Mytilus edulis: one gene and its partners. The protein of the gene in region 3 purifies or fractionates together with the protein of the main gene of each other region. This does not show direct contact. Links are inferred from orthologs where the notes say so. Each region holds a gene or a part of one and is shown on either strand. Other genes may lie near its edges.

Region 1 (3,761 bases), on a different chromosome or scaffold from region 3:
AACGGTAATATTTCGTGGGCTTTATGAAAAAAATCTACCGATTTTGACGAACCACCTAAAATTCCTTGAAAATGGTAACGATAATTATTTCAGAACTCAAAAATAACTAGGGGTCGAATTTAAGCTTTTTGTATACTGGCAAGCTGGAACAGTGGAATAAAAAATCTACTGGTCCAGCTGCGAGGGGGGATAGGACCTTTATCGGGACTCCGGGATCAGGTGTTTTTAAGCTCAGGATTTCTGGATTGACCCTTTCGGGATCCGGGAATTCTTTTTTTAAATTTCAGGACCTCGGGATTTCGTTTTTTTTAAGCCCGGGATTACGTGATTTCGTGTTTTTAAGCTCGGGATTTCTGGATCAGGACCCCTCCTACCCTCCCTCAGCTGCAAATCTTAACTGGTTCTGCAAAAATGACATTCATTTGACAAACACTAAAAACAATTTCATGAAACAATATTTTATATTAATTTCTTCAAGTTAACAGGAAATAATATTTTATTTTCAATGAATACAATTATCCTCTTTGACATGCTTCAGTACCGGGTAAATGATTTCGCAAGTTAATTTGTTTGCAAACAAACTGATATTGCGATGCAATCAGTGAGTTTTATCAACAAATTTCTACTGGTCCACCAGACCACCAGCAGACAAAATCTACTGATCCGACGCAAATTCTTCTGGTCTATGACCGCAGGACCAGCGCCAGTTTCGACTCCTGGAAATAACTCTGACCAATCCTGATCATATACAATGTATATAAGCATGACATAACTTAACATGAGATTAATAAATTTTAATCAATTTCATGCAAACATTAGCCGAAAACTACTGTTTAACGCCTAACAATAAAGGTGCATTTTTACCCTTTACATATACATGTAGTGATGTACCAAATTAGGGTTGTTGAAGTAATGACTAAATGAATGACAGGTGAGGTGGGATAGGTCTTGAGGATTGAGGAGTAAACTTGTGACTAAATTATTATATTCATCTGATTATTTGTTTCCCTCATTACTTTTAGTTCATCAATAAGTTGTATTTCTACATTTTCTGTGCTGTTTTTCAACTCCATTTCTATTTGATGAACCGAAGACGGTATGGAACTTATACGAAAATAAATTTTATGTTCATTTTTCTTTTAAATAATAATGAAATGTCACCAAAAAGATAAATCATATCTAATTGACCAAAATGAAGAAATTTATTCTTGTTCTTTTGTTCAAATCTTTAAAGAACGACCGTTTGTAAATACAATTAAACGCGGAATTGCATCTAATCCGATTTAAGTTTTTGTTTAGAATCCCATTGACAACTTCCGCCACATGTTCATTTATTTTATTTTTAATTTTGATATAAGAAAAACAAGCATTTCCTTGTTTTGAATTACTTGGTAAGGTGTGTATGATATTAAACCCTTCATCCTATAACTTTAGGTTATGAAATTATAACATGACAAACTCAGAGTGCTTGATTTTGATAAAAAATCTAGATAGCATTCTGTTTGCTTTTCTTCATACATACGAATTTGTATAATTATTGATAATATTACTTTACAAACATGAAAAATCCTTGTTGTAATTAACTGATTTGTGTATATGTTTTCCTTCTTGCCTTCATGAATTCGGTCATACACTGCTGGCCTATAACATAAGATTTATTTACAGTACCATTCAAAAGGACCAACTCTCCCACACCCTACACCAAGGAAAATGTCCGAGTTACTCCGAAAAACTCTGATATTCCTCCCAAAATGTTGGGAGGAATTTGGGAATAATCTCTTCCAAAATCAGGTAAATGTTTATTGTGATAGCGAGCTCACTCCCCTATTATTTGCTCTTATCCTACTTTGATCTATACCGACACACGACTGATAGGGTAATAGGCTTAAAGTCATATGAAACGAGTAAGTGGTTAAAAATAACGTTTATCCAATTCTTGAACCAATGCATGTATATATCATAAACTTAGTCCTCTGTGCACAAATTTCTCATTTTACGCATATATAATGTTTAATCGTCAATTTTTTTTTTCTCTCTGTCTGTTATGATTTAACAAATATGGCTACTCATTAAATGCCGTGTTTTGAAGCCGAAGTTTACCGATTGTCACCTTATAGTAAACAAATAACAAAAAGCATAGTTATTGAGCACGTGTTTAACATGAACAATCAGATAATTGTTTATTTTAATGACAGATCCATGCTTATTGTGACCACCAGATTTTTACGAGGAGGGTTACGCTCAGGTCACTATGCATACTGAAAATATGTCGGCGAAGCAATTTAAAATAATGAAATTCTTCTAAATGTGAACAAATTAACACTAGTTATACGTCCATGGTCAATAATATAAATTTATGGTTGATGAAATATTGAAATTATGATGGAAATTGTCCAGGGATCAATTGTGTTCAAAAGACAAAAATACAATAAAGAACTGCCAATTTTGGGCGATTAAGAAATGTTCAAAAATGAAATGCTGACTGATTTAACTGGAATAGAATATTATGATGGGCAATTGAGGTTTAATAATAATTAAAGGATTAGTGACCTATTGAATGGCGATAAGCGGATTACTTATCATCACAACTTTTAACATCTTTTGTAAACGTTAAATGGCTGCGCGTCATAAACTTGTCAAAAACATGAAGACAGGTAAAATCATAGTAATTTAATGCTAAAATATTTTTACACTTTCCAAATTTAAATGACGAAATTGATATTAAATACTTTCATCAATTTGAAAACCGTTTCGTAGCAAAATCACTTGAAGTTATTCCCTTTGTTCAACAGAGTTGTCACTTTACAGTTTCTTTTCGTAATTTAGATTATTGAAGTCTGTATAAATGTACCGAGGTGGTGAAACATAGTATTTTACATTGCTTCAATAAATTGAGTTTTACTTGTTGAACCGATGAATAGATTAGACGATCGAGTTACAAAAAAAAGACCTGATTATGTTGTCACGCGTCGTAAATGTTTAGTACATCCGATTGGCAATAAACCAATTAACAGCCACGCAGTGTTGGGAGAGAATCTTTGGAGGAATTTGGGAGTGAAATCCGCGGTACTTGGTAGCTCCGAAAAACACGGAAATCGGAAAAAAAAGGATATTGAATCGTTCCGTTTGAATGGTACTGTAATACATTTTTACTCTTTTACAAAATGTATTAGGGCCTCATATGCATGATGTAATGATAATAAACATGTGGATATGTAATCAAATGTCAAATAACAAAAATACTCAACTCCAAGGAAAATTCAAAACAGAAAGTCCCTTATTGATGGTATAATCAAAAGCTTAAACTCAAACAACTGTCACATTCTTGACTTGGAACAGGCTTTAAGTAGTAAATGGTGGATTAAATCTGGTTTTAAAGCTAGCTAAACATCACACTTGTATGACAGTTGTATAGGAATCTGTTATATTGACAATGATGTGTGAACAAAAAAGACAGACATAAAAGGTAAAAAAGGTAAAAAATTGGGGTACAGCAGTCAACATTGTGTTATTATCTTAATCACCATAAAAATCATTCATACATGTACTTTCAGAGGTTGAGATGGTGGTGTTTACTTGCAGCCAGTGTAACGAATCACTGAAGAAGAATCAAGTAGAAAAACATTTTCAGACAAGATGTCGTAACTGCAATATGATATCATGTGTTGACTGTGGAAAAGATTTCTGGTTGGTATATTATATACATTTGCATAGGTTTATTTTTTGTTTAGAGTTGTCTCCCTTGTCAAAAATTCTAGAAA
Region 2 (3,761 bases), on a different chromosome or scaffold from region 3:
TAATCAAGGACGACGTGAGGTCAGTCTAGATATCATAATGCATGACTTGCAAATGCGTTAATTTCATGATAATTTATCACGACAATCCCGGCGACATATTCATCTACAGAATATTTCCCGATGTTATACATTATTACACATTTCACCTGTGAAGATGAGATTAAGTATACATTTGTGTTATTTGTATATGGAAAACCGTAAAACACAGAAATTTTAAAGTTTGTTTTGTTTTAAAGATTTTTCGAAATTTTGATAAATGCCCCCTTTGGATACCTTAAATGAAATTCCGTTCCGTTCCGTAAAGTACCAATAGCCATCTAGTGATTATCATTTATTGATATTAAAAAAATGATTTTTCACTATCAAAAAAATGATTTTTCACTATCAAAAAAATGATTTTTCAATATTAAAAAAAGATTTTTGTCATAAATAAATGATTTTTAATAATAATAAATGAGTTTTCAATATTACATTCGATTTCATTGAGTGAGTATGGAAAGGTTAAATCCTTGGTTAGCTTACCTGTTAGCTGAACCGTGCAGTCATTATTAAGTTTAACATGTTTAATAGGTAAACTATCCTCCTTTAAGAGTAGACTAGTCCGACAGACAACCAATCTATCTGTCTGTAGGACTAGACTACTTCGAAAGAAGTAGTATTATTGTATAGCAATATAATATTTCCCACAGAAAGTAACCAAAAGTTAGCGTGCAATAAATTCTAATATTGCACTAGTGCAATAAATCTTCAAAATTCATGACATCATCAACGACAAAATCTTAGTTTAAACCAATTTTTACTTTTAAATATTATATTGCTATACAATAAAAGGGTTATTGCATGAATATTGGGGAATATTGTCCCTCGTAGAACATATATTGCACTCGCAAGCTCGTGCAATATAAAATTCTACTCGGGACAATATTCCCCAATATTCATGCAATAACCCTATATTACTATACCTTACATGACCTAAATCTCAGAGCTAACCTAATAATGAATTCATGGTTCAGCTAACAAGCAAGCTAACCAAGTTTACTGTCACAGAATGGAAGTTCCTTCATAATATAAGTTCCAAAAAAGAAAAAAATATTCTGGAACACAATTTCCAAAGGAATAAATATATTACAGTATATGTTCCCAACGGAATAAATGGTATAGAATATTTGTTCCAACAGGAATAGATATAATTACAATATTTATAACAAAGTTTCCATTGGAACTTCTGTTAGGTGGAACAAATATATACCTTACCCTACACACTCAATGCAATCGGCTGTAATAAATGAATTATTAATATTTAAAAAAGATACAGGATTTTTGTTTATATAAAACAAGGATTTGTATAGTAAGAACTTACTATACAAATCCTTGTATAAAAGTAGTCACTTTCTGATATAAGGTACGTTGTGGTGCATTTATTTTTACAATATGAATGAGGAAGTTAGTCTTGATCACGTATTCTGCCTCGTTTTAGAAACCAACGCTATCTTTCTTCGCCATTTTTCACAACACGTCAGCCGTAGGAAAAGAAAACGAAGCATGTCTTACGGACGACCATCAAATGATTCCAGAATTTATGTTGGCAATCTCCCACCTGATATAAGAGCTAGAGACATTGAAGATTTATTTTATAAATTTGGACGAATTAACTTTGTTGACTTGAAAACAAGACGAGGGCCCCCTTTTGCCTTTGTTGAATTTGAGGACCCACGGTAAACACTTTGTTTAGTTTATTTAAATTTAAAACTGTCAATATTTTTTCTTGGCAATTTCAAGGTGTAAACCTACTTGTATTGTGGCTGTGCTCATAGCCATATTTACATGTAAAACTGAGTAAGAGAGTATTTACTAATAATAATATTAAAAATCACAGGCACTTGTTTCTATTCATGAAGGTACTGTCTACTGTAGTAATTTTACTGTCAGTCGTCAAATAGTCAGTCTTCACGACAAGTGGCAGCCCAGGCTGGTAAAATTGCTCTTGGCCTGTAAAAATCAGACCTACAGGCCAACAGAATATAACTAAAAATTTTCAAAAATTGAGCTGTGGGCCTGTAGATTTAGCAGTTCAGAGTGAAGACTGAACAGTCATTTTAGGCATCAGTTGGTGTCATTGGTTTTACCGTGATTCGTTCGAAATATCCTTTTATATCGTGAATCGTCAGAGGTCTCATAAAATTATCGTTACCTCAATTGGTAAAAATTTGTCAGAGCAGACCTTCCATCTAAACATGAAACCCTAGAAAATTACAACACTGCCAGCGATATTGTTGGCTTTTTTCAAAACTACCTCTAGTTACCCTTTTTATTGGGAAAATATGCGTCATTTTCATCAAATTGGGAAATTTAAAATCATGAATATGACTGAAACTTCAATTTACAGACCCATTTTCAAGAGTCAAACCCTGCTTTGAAATAAGACCCTGTGATGATACATAAATAGACCCTCAAATGTGCACATATAGTCATTTTAGGCAAGAAAATTGTTTAAATGAGTGTTTTTAAAGGGGCACTAGCTGTCAAATTCATTGTAACCGATTTGACTCAAATTCTCATATTTGGTTTATAACAATGTAAAACATTTATCCAAACTATCAAAAGTCTAAAATAAGCAGTTTACAGAGCATGGGGTAGATAATATATAGGTTCGTTTCGTGTGTATTTTAGTCCAGACGCCATCTAATTAACTATCGATTTGACCTCAGATGACCATATTAGCGATGTAAACAAAAATTAAGATACGAATAGATTAAACCAACACGTGCAATTGCATTTTTATAGGTCTGTTTGATTTTATTTTATAGATTAAAAATAGATGTTTCTCATTGTTTTTAACCATATAAGAATGACTTTATGTGCATCGAATTAGTAATCAAATGATTTACCGTAGTTTCACTTTCATTGTTGACATTCTTTTTCTTTAAATAACCAGTACACGTACAACGCATGCGTTGTCAATCTCTAGCTAGGGGTTAAGGTTCATCATAAGGAATTGAAAAATATGGCCGTGTTTACACCTCCAAAATTACTATGAGTACAGACAAACTGGTACATCCAGGAAAGTTTTAAGGCATGGCAGGAACTAGATATATAAAAGTTATATGAAGTCTTCGTTTCAGAAAATTAAAAACTTACCTGGATTTTGATGTTCATTTTTTTCCAGTCTGCAGAAGATAGCAAAATAAACAAACACCCGAGTTTCATTTGATACGGTCCACTCAGTTACACAGTTTAAACCTGTTAAATAACCTATTGTTTACAGGTGTCTTGTCCATCTATTGTCCATTTAAATCAATACTACTCACAACATTGATTATATGAGTGGAGCTTCTCAATCGTTTTCACTACTTAGTTAATTTTTGCACCTTCTGCAGGAACGAAAAAAAATGGATAGCAAAATCTAGAAAAGTTTATAATTTTCTGAAACATAAAATGCATTTAAAATTTATATATCTAGTTCCTGCCATCCCTTAAAACTGTTGCAGGTGTATAGGTTAGTCTGTACTCAGAGTAAAATTTGGGGTGTAAATACGGCCATTTTAGCCAAAAGGTTATGATGAACCTTAACTTGAAGTTCACATGAATACCGGTTAGAATGATGATGACGTTTTCACTTGCAAGTGAATCAGTCACAGTGTTCCAGCTAGGTTTTCAAAAGGGCAGGGTGCCAATCCTGAAAAAGGGCATTTAACGCGCGATATGATAATATGAAAAGGGCATATTTTAATAAAAGATGTTAATCAAACATTTGTGTTTAT
Region 3 (3,761 bases):
TTAAATGATATCTAAATTTGTTTGTTTCGCCTTTTATTAAAAAAATTGCTATGCGTATAAGCATAAATACTACATACTTGCGCGACGCCTTTTAGTTTTACTGAAAACTGCGCAGACTAAGAAATGTTTTTACAAGTGTAAAATGTTCTATGATAGATATTATTTTGTCAGACACTTTTCTTTTTTTTATTTGGTTCTTATAACATGCCAAAAATCTGTATATTTAATAGAGTTTAACATTAAATTAAGCGTTTTACTCTTAACAGACGTATAACCAACCCGATTAACAGACCAATCGCCCATATAGCCGCATACTCAATATAGATTAACCGACCAATCTCTCGGTTAGCCGAGTGTCGGCCGTGTAGAGGTATAATTTGTATATCAAAGTGAATAAGGTGGCGTGGCCGTATGATTGCCTATGGGATAATTATCCATGAGTGTCCAAAGGAAAAGCATACTGCCAATTATACAGGTTAACTTCAACAATGTATAGATATACTCGCATAAATGAAATATATTTTTTAGTATTTTTGAGTAAGAATGAATTGTGATAACATATTTTTTTTTCGTTCGCATTGTGTGTTTATCGACCAGCTATGGTATATGGTATACGAACGCGGACACCCTATCTTTGTAAAATTGTCCAATTAATGTCCGACGGAGGGTGCATCACTCAGTCATGATCAGATAGTTGTTAAATCTACCTATCTCTTAAGGTACTGGATATCTCAGTTGCTACTGAGTTCTCTTGCCTAACACAATTTGTCAAACGGGTTGAAGTTTTCTTGCTCTTTTATTCCGCATATACGTTACTCGAGATACTTGACTTTGTGTTCTGCCCTTCTATTCTTATCTCCATATTGTATGGTCAACTGACAAGGATAAATTTGTGACAAGAACGTGTTTAATCATGCTATTGTTTTAACAAGGATTTATATATTAGATCATATTAGTATAGACTGTCCCTGTATATGATACTATGTATAAATCCTATGGTTAAAAAAATCATTAGTTTTTAAATACCAAGGATGTGTATAGTTACTATCAGAGACATATATATACACACTGTCACTCGTATACATGTCTCTGTTACTATATAATACAAAACTTGGATTTACCGACCCCTCGGAGACCGACCCCAAACAAAAATGGGGTGAAAGTGTCGATCCAAGATTCATTAGGGCCAAACACTTTAGAAACAAAATAATTAAACTTTTTGTTTTATAGTTGAAAAAGGTTATTTGTATAGTAAGAAGGTTCTTACTATACAAATCCTTGATAAAACCAAAAATGACACGTGCCAAATACCGGAAAATTACAGCTTGTCCGCATTTGGTTTTAAATTTAGATAGACAGTCAGCACTTCCGGCACATGTGGAAATCAAATCGAAGAAATGGCAAACGAAGATGTTAGCAAAACTGCCTCTGTTGAGGTACATTTTGCACAAAGATTGGCTTCAAATGAGAAGAAGATTAGAGACAGAGCAATGAAGAAATTAAGAAAATGGCTTGAATTGAAATCTTTAACCAAAAAAGGTGTGCAAGTTTACCTCGTTTCTCCTAACAAACAGACCCAAAAATTATGGCAAAATGGAACACACATGTCAATAATATTACAACAGCAGCCACACTAATGCTTAACCTAATGAAGAAAAACGTATAGGTCAATTCAAAATCAAGAAGCATATGCATCATTTGTAAGACCAAAGCTAGAGTACAACAGCTGTGTCTGCGACCCATATACCATACCATATAGACTATAGTGTCGACACTACTCCACATCTAAATTACAGCACTGATTTTAACTACATACTTGAAAGTTTTTAGCTGTTCACTTACGCTGGAGTATATACACTAAAACATGAGTCCACTCCTTGACGGGAAGATAGAGAGATAGATAGATAAATCACAAACTAAAAATGTCCAAGCACAGAGCAGCTAGGATGGTACACATAAACATGCCATAGCCCCAGCTCAGTTACACTACATTTGAGAAAAGGCAAATACAATCTTGAATCCTGTTCTATATCATGCACCATGTAGCCATATAGAGTGCTAGTTTTCTTGTAGCCTGGTTAATTCTTAACTAGGTCGTTTCATACTTGGTGTATTTATAAATGGAATATATTAAATTAAAGAACTTTTCTTGATTTCAACTCTTTAAGTTATGAGTTTTGTTTAAAACGTGTTATATATAATTGTTTACAGAAAAAGCTTTTACTGAAGCAGATTTCCTGAAGATATGGAAAGGTCTCCACTACTGTCTATGGATGCAGGACAAAGCACTTCTTCAGGTTTATATTTTATTTAAAATGGTGTAACTAGAAATTCTAAACAGTCATATGATTTTTATACGCCCGTCAAAATTTTGACGTATTATGGTATACAAATGTCCGGTGTCCGTCTGTCTGTCCGTCTGTCTGTCCAGCGTAAACATGTCGCACCGTAACTTGAGAACGACTTATCTAAATTTCATGAAACTTAATATAGTTGTTTTTTATGATGATCAAATGATCTGTATACTTTTTGGTGAAAATAAGATTTAAACTTTTTGAGTTACGGCACTATGTAACTAAAACAGGGGTGTGTTGTTTTTTCACATGTCGCACCGTATCTCAAAAACGATTCTTGATTATTGCTTTAAACTTTACACACTTCTTAGTTATATTAATCTTAATATCTGTATACTTTTGGTGATGATTCAAAATTTCATTTTTGAGTTATCGAGTATTTTGTAAAAAAAGGGGGAGGGTTTTTTACATGTCGCGCCGTATCTCAAAAAACGATTTATGATTATTTCTTAAAACTTTACACACTTCTTTGTTATATTAATCTAAAGATCTGTATACTTTTTGGTGATGATTCAAAATGTTACTCCCTTAGCTCATTACTGATTTCCTTTGCTTTTTGTGGCATTCAACCTAAACAGGAAGTTTTCTAAATTCTAGATTGAACTAATATAAATAGAGATAATACTTAAATATTTCATTTTGTGCCTTGAGATTGATATAAGTTCTGTTTTTAATATTTTTTATACTTGTAGGAGGAGATGTGTGCATTTATGTCCCGACTGGTTCATGTATTCAGTCATCCAGACAACACATTACTGTTTATACAAGTGTTCTTACAGACAGAGGCTAGGGAATGGAATGGCACAGACCGCTGGAGGATGGATAAATTCATGATGGTAACCATCCTCCCCATTGCCTCATTGTTCCTGTGATTGAAACACTGTTTTATTATTAAAAATTTCGGTCAAATTGCCTATGTACATGTATTTAACTTATTTACTATAAAAAATGGACTTAACTGGGAGTTCAAGGAAGTTAGAATATTTAAAGAATTGCCTGCATACTTTGGAACAGCCATGAAAAATCACATTTTTTCTTAATCCATTAAAATAAATGAATCCACAGTATAGCATGTTTATTGTCCATATTTTGTCAATCATTAGCATAATATGGTCCCAAATGATGTGGCTCTCATCAATTGAAATTGTAAGATATTTGTTGGATATGAGATGATATTTATGATATTATAGATAGATATTTTAATCAGTTATTAATAACATAATTGATTGTTTTCAAATACTTTTCAGTTGTTCCGTAACATGTTAACACAGTCATTAGAGTTTCTGAAAAAACAGAAATGGAAAAAGAGTCTTATTACCAAGTTTACAGACATTCTGTCCAATAAGATAATGAACATTAAGGAAGACACTTCACCAGACGGACTTAAGATACATTTTACAGATATTT

Evidence for each region.
Region 1: the proteins of ribosomal RNA processing protein 1 homolog A-like (region 3) and cell growth-regulating nucleolar protein-like purify together in Homo sapiens (co-immunoprecipitation; 3 studies listed by IntAct, with this or other methods). This does not show direct contact. The link is inferred for Mytilus edulis from reciprocal best matches to the Homo sapiens genes RRP1B and LYAR.
Region 2: the proteins of ribosomal RNA processing protein 1 homolog A-like (region 3) and serine/arginine-rich splicing factor 1-like purify together in Homo sapiens (co-immunoprecipitation; 3 studies listed by BioGRID and IntAct, with this or other methods). This does not show direct contact. The link is inferred for Mytilus edulis from reciprocal best matches to the Homo sapiens genes RRP1B and SRSF1.

Annotation. Positions count from the first base shown.
Region 1 is NC_092347.1:43,472,775-43,476,535, forward strand, and holds the start of cell growth-regulating nucleolar protein-like, read left to right. Parts: upstream 1-1,288; 5' UTR 1,289-1,391; exon of another isoform or gene 1,392-1,396; intron 1,397-3,554; 5' UTR 3,555-3,562; coding exon 3,563-3,687; intron 3,688-3,761. Other genes in the region: protein-lysine N-trimethyltransferase SMYD5-like, read right to left, coding at 1,017-1,073. UniProt on the Homo sapiens protein: Plays a role in the maintenance of the appropriate processing of 47S/45S pre-rRNA to 32S/30S pre-rRNAs and their subsequent processing to produce 18S and 28S rRNAs. Also acts at the level of transcription regulation.
Region 2 is NC_092349.1:62,476,584-62,480,344, forward strand, and holds the start of serine/arginine-rich splicing factor 1-like, read left to right. Parts: upstream 1-1,464; 5' UTR 1,465-1,542; coding exon 1,543-1,715; intron 1,716-3,761. UniProt on the Homo sapiens protein: Plays a role in preventing exon skipping, ensuring the accuracy of splicing and regulating alternative splicing.
Region 3 is NC_092348.1:78,180,091-78,183,851, forward strand, and holds the start of ribosomal RNA processing protein 1 homolog A-like, read left to right. Parts: upstream 1-1,341; 5' UTR 1,342-1,397; coding exon 1,398-1,539; intron 1,540-2,211; coding exon 2,212-2,297; intron 2,298-3,046; coding exon 3,047-3,190; intron 3,191-3,601; coding exon 3,602-3,761. UniProt on the Homo sapiens protein: Positively regulates DNA damage-induced apoptosis by acting as a transcriptional coactivator of proapoptotic target genes of the transcriptional activator E2F1.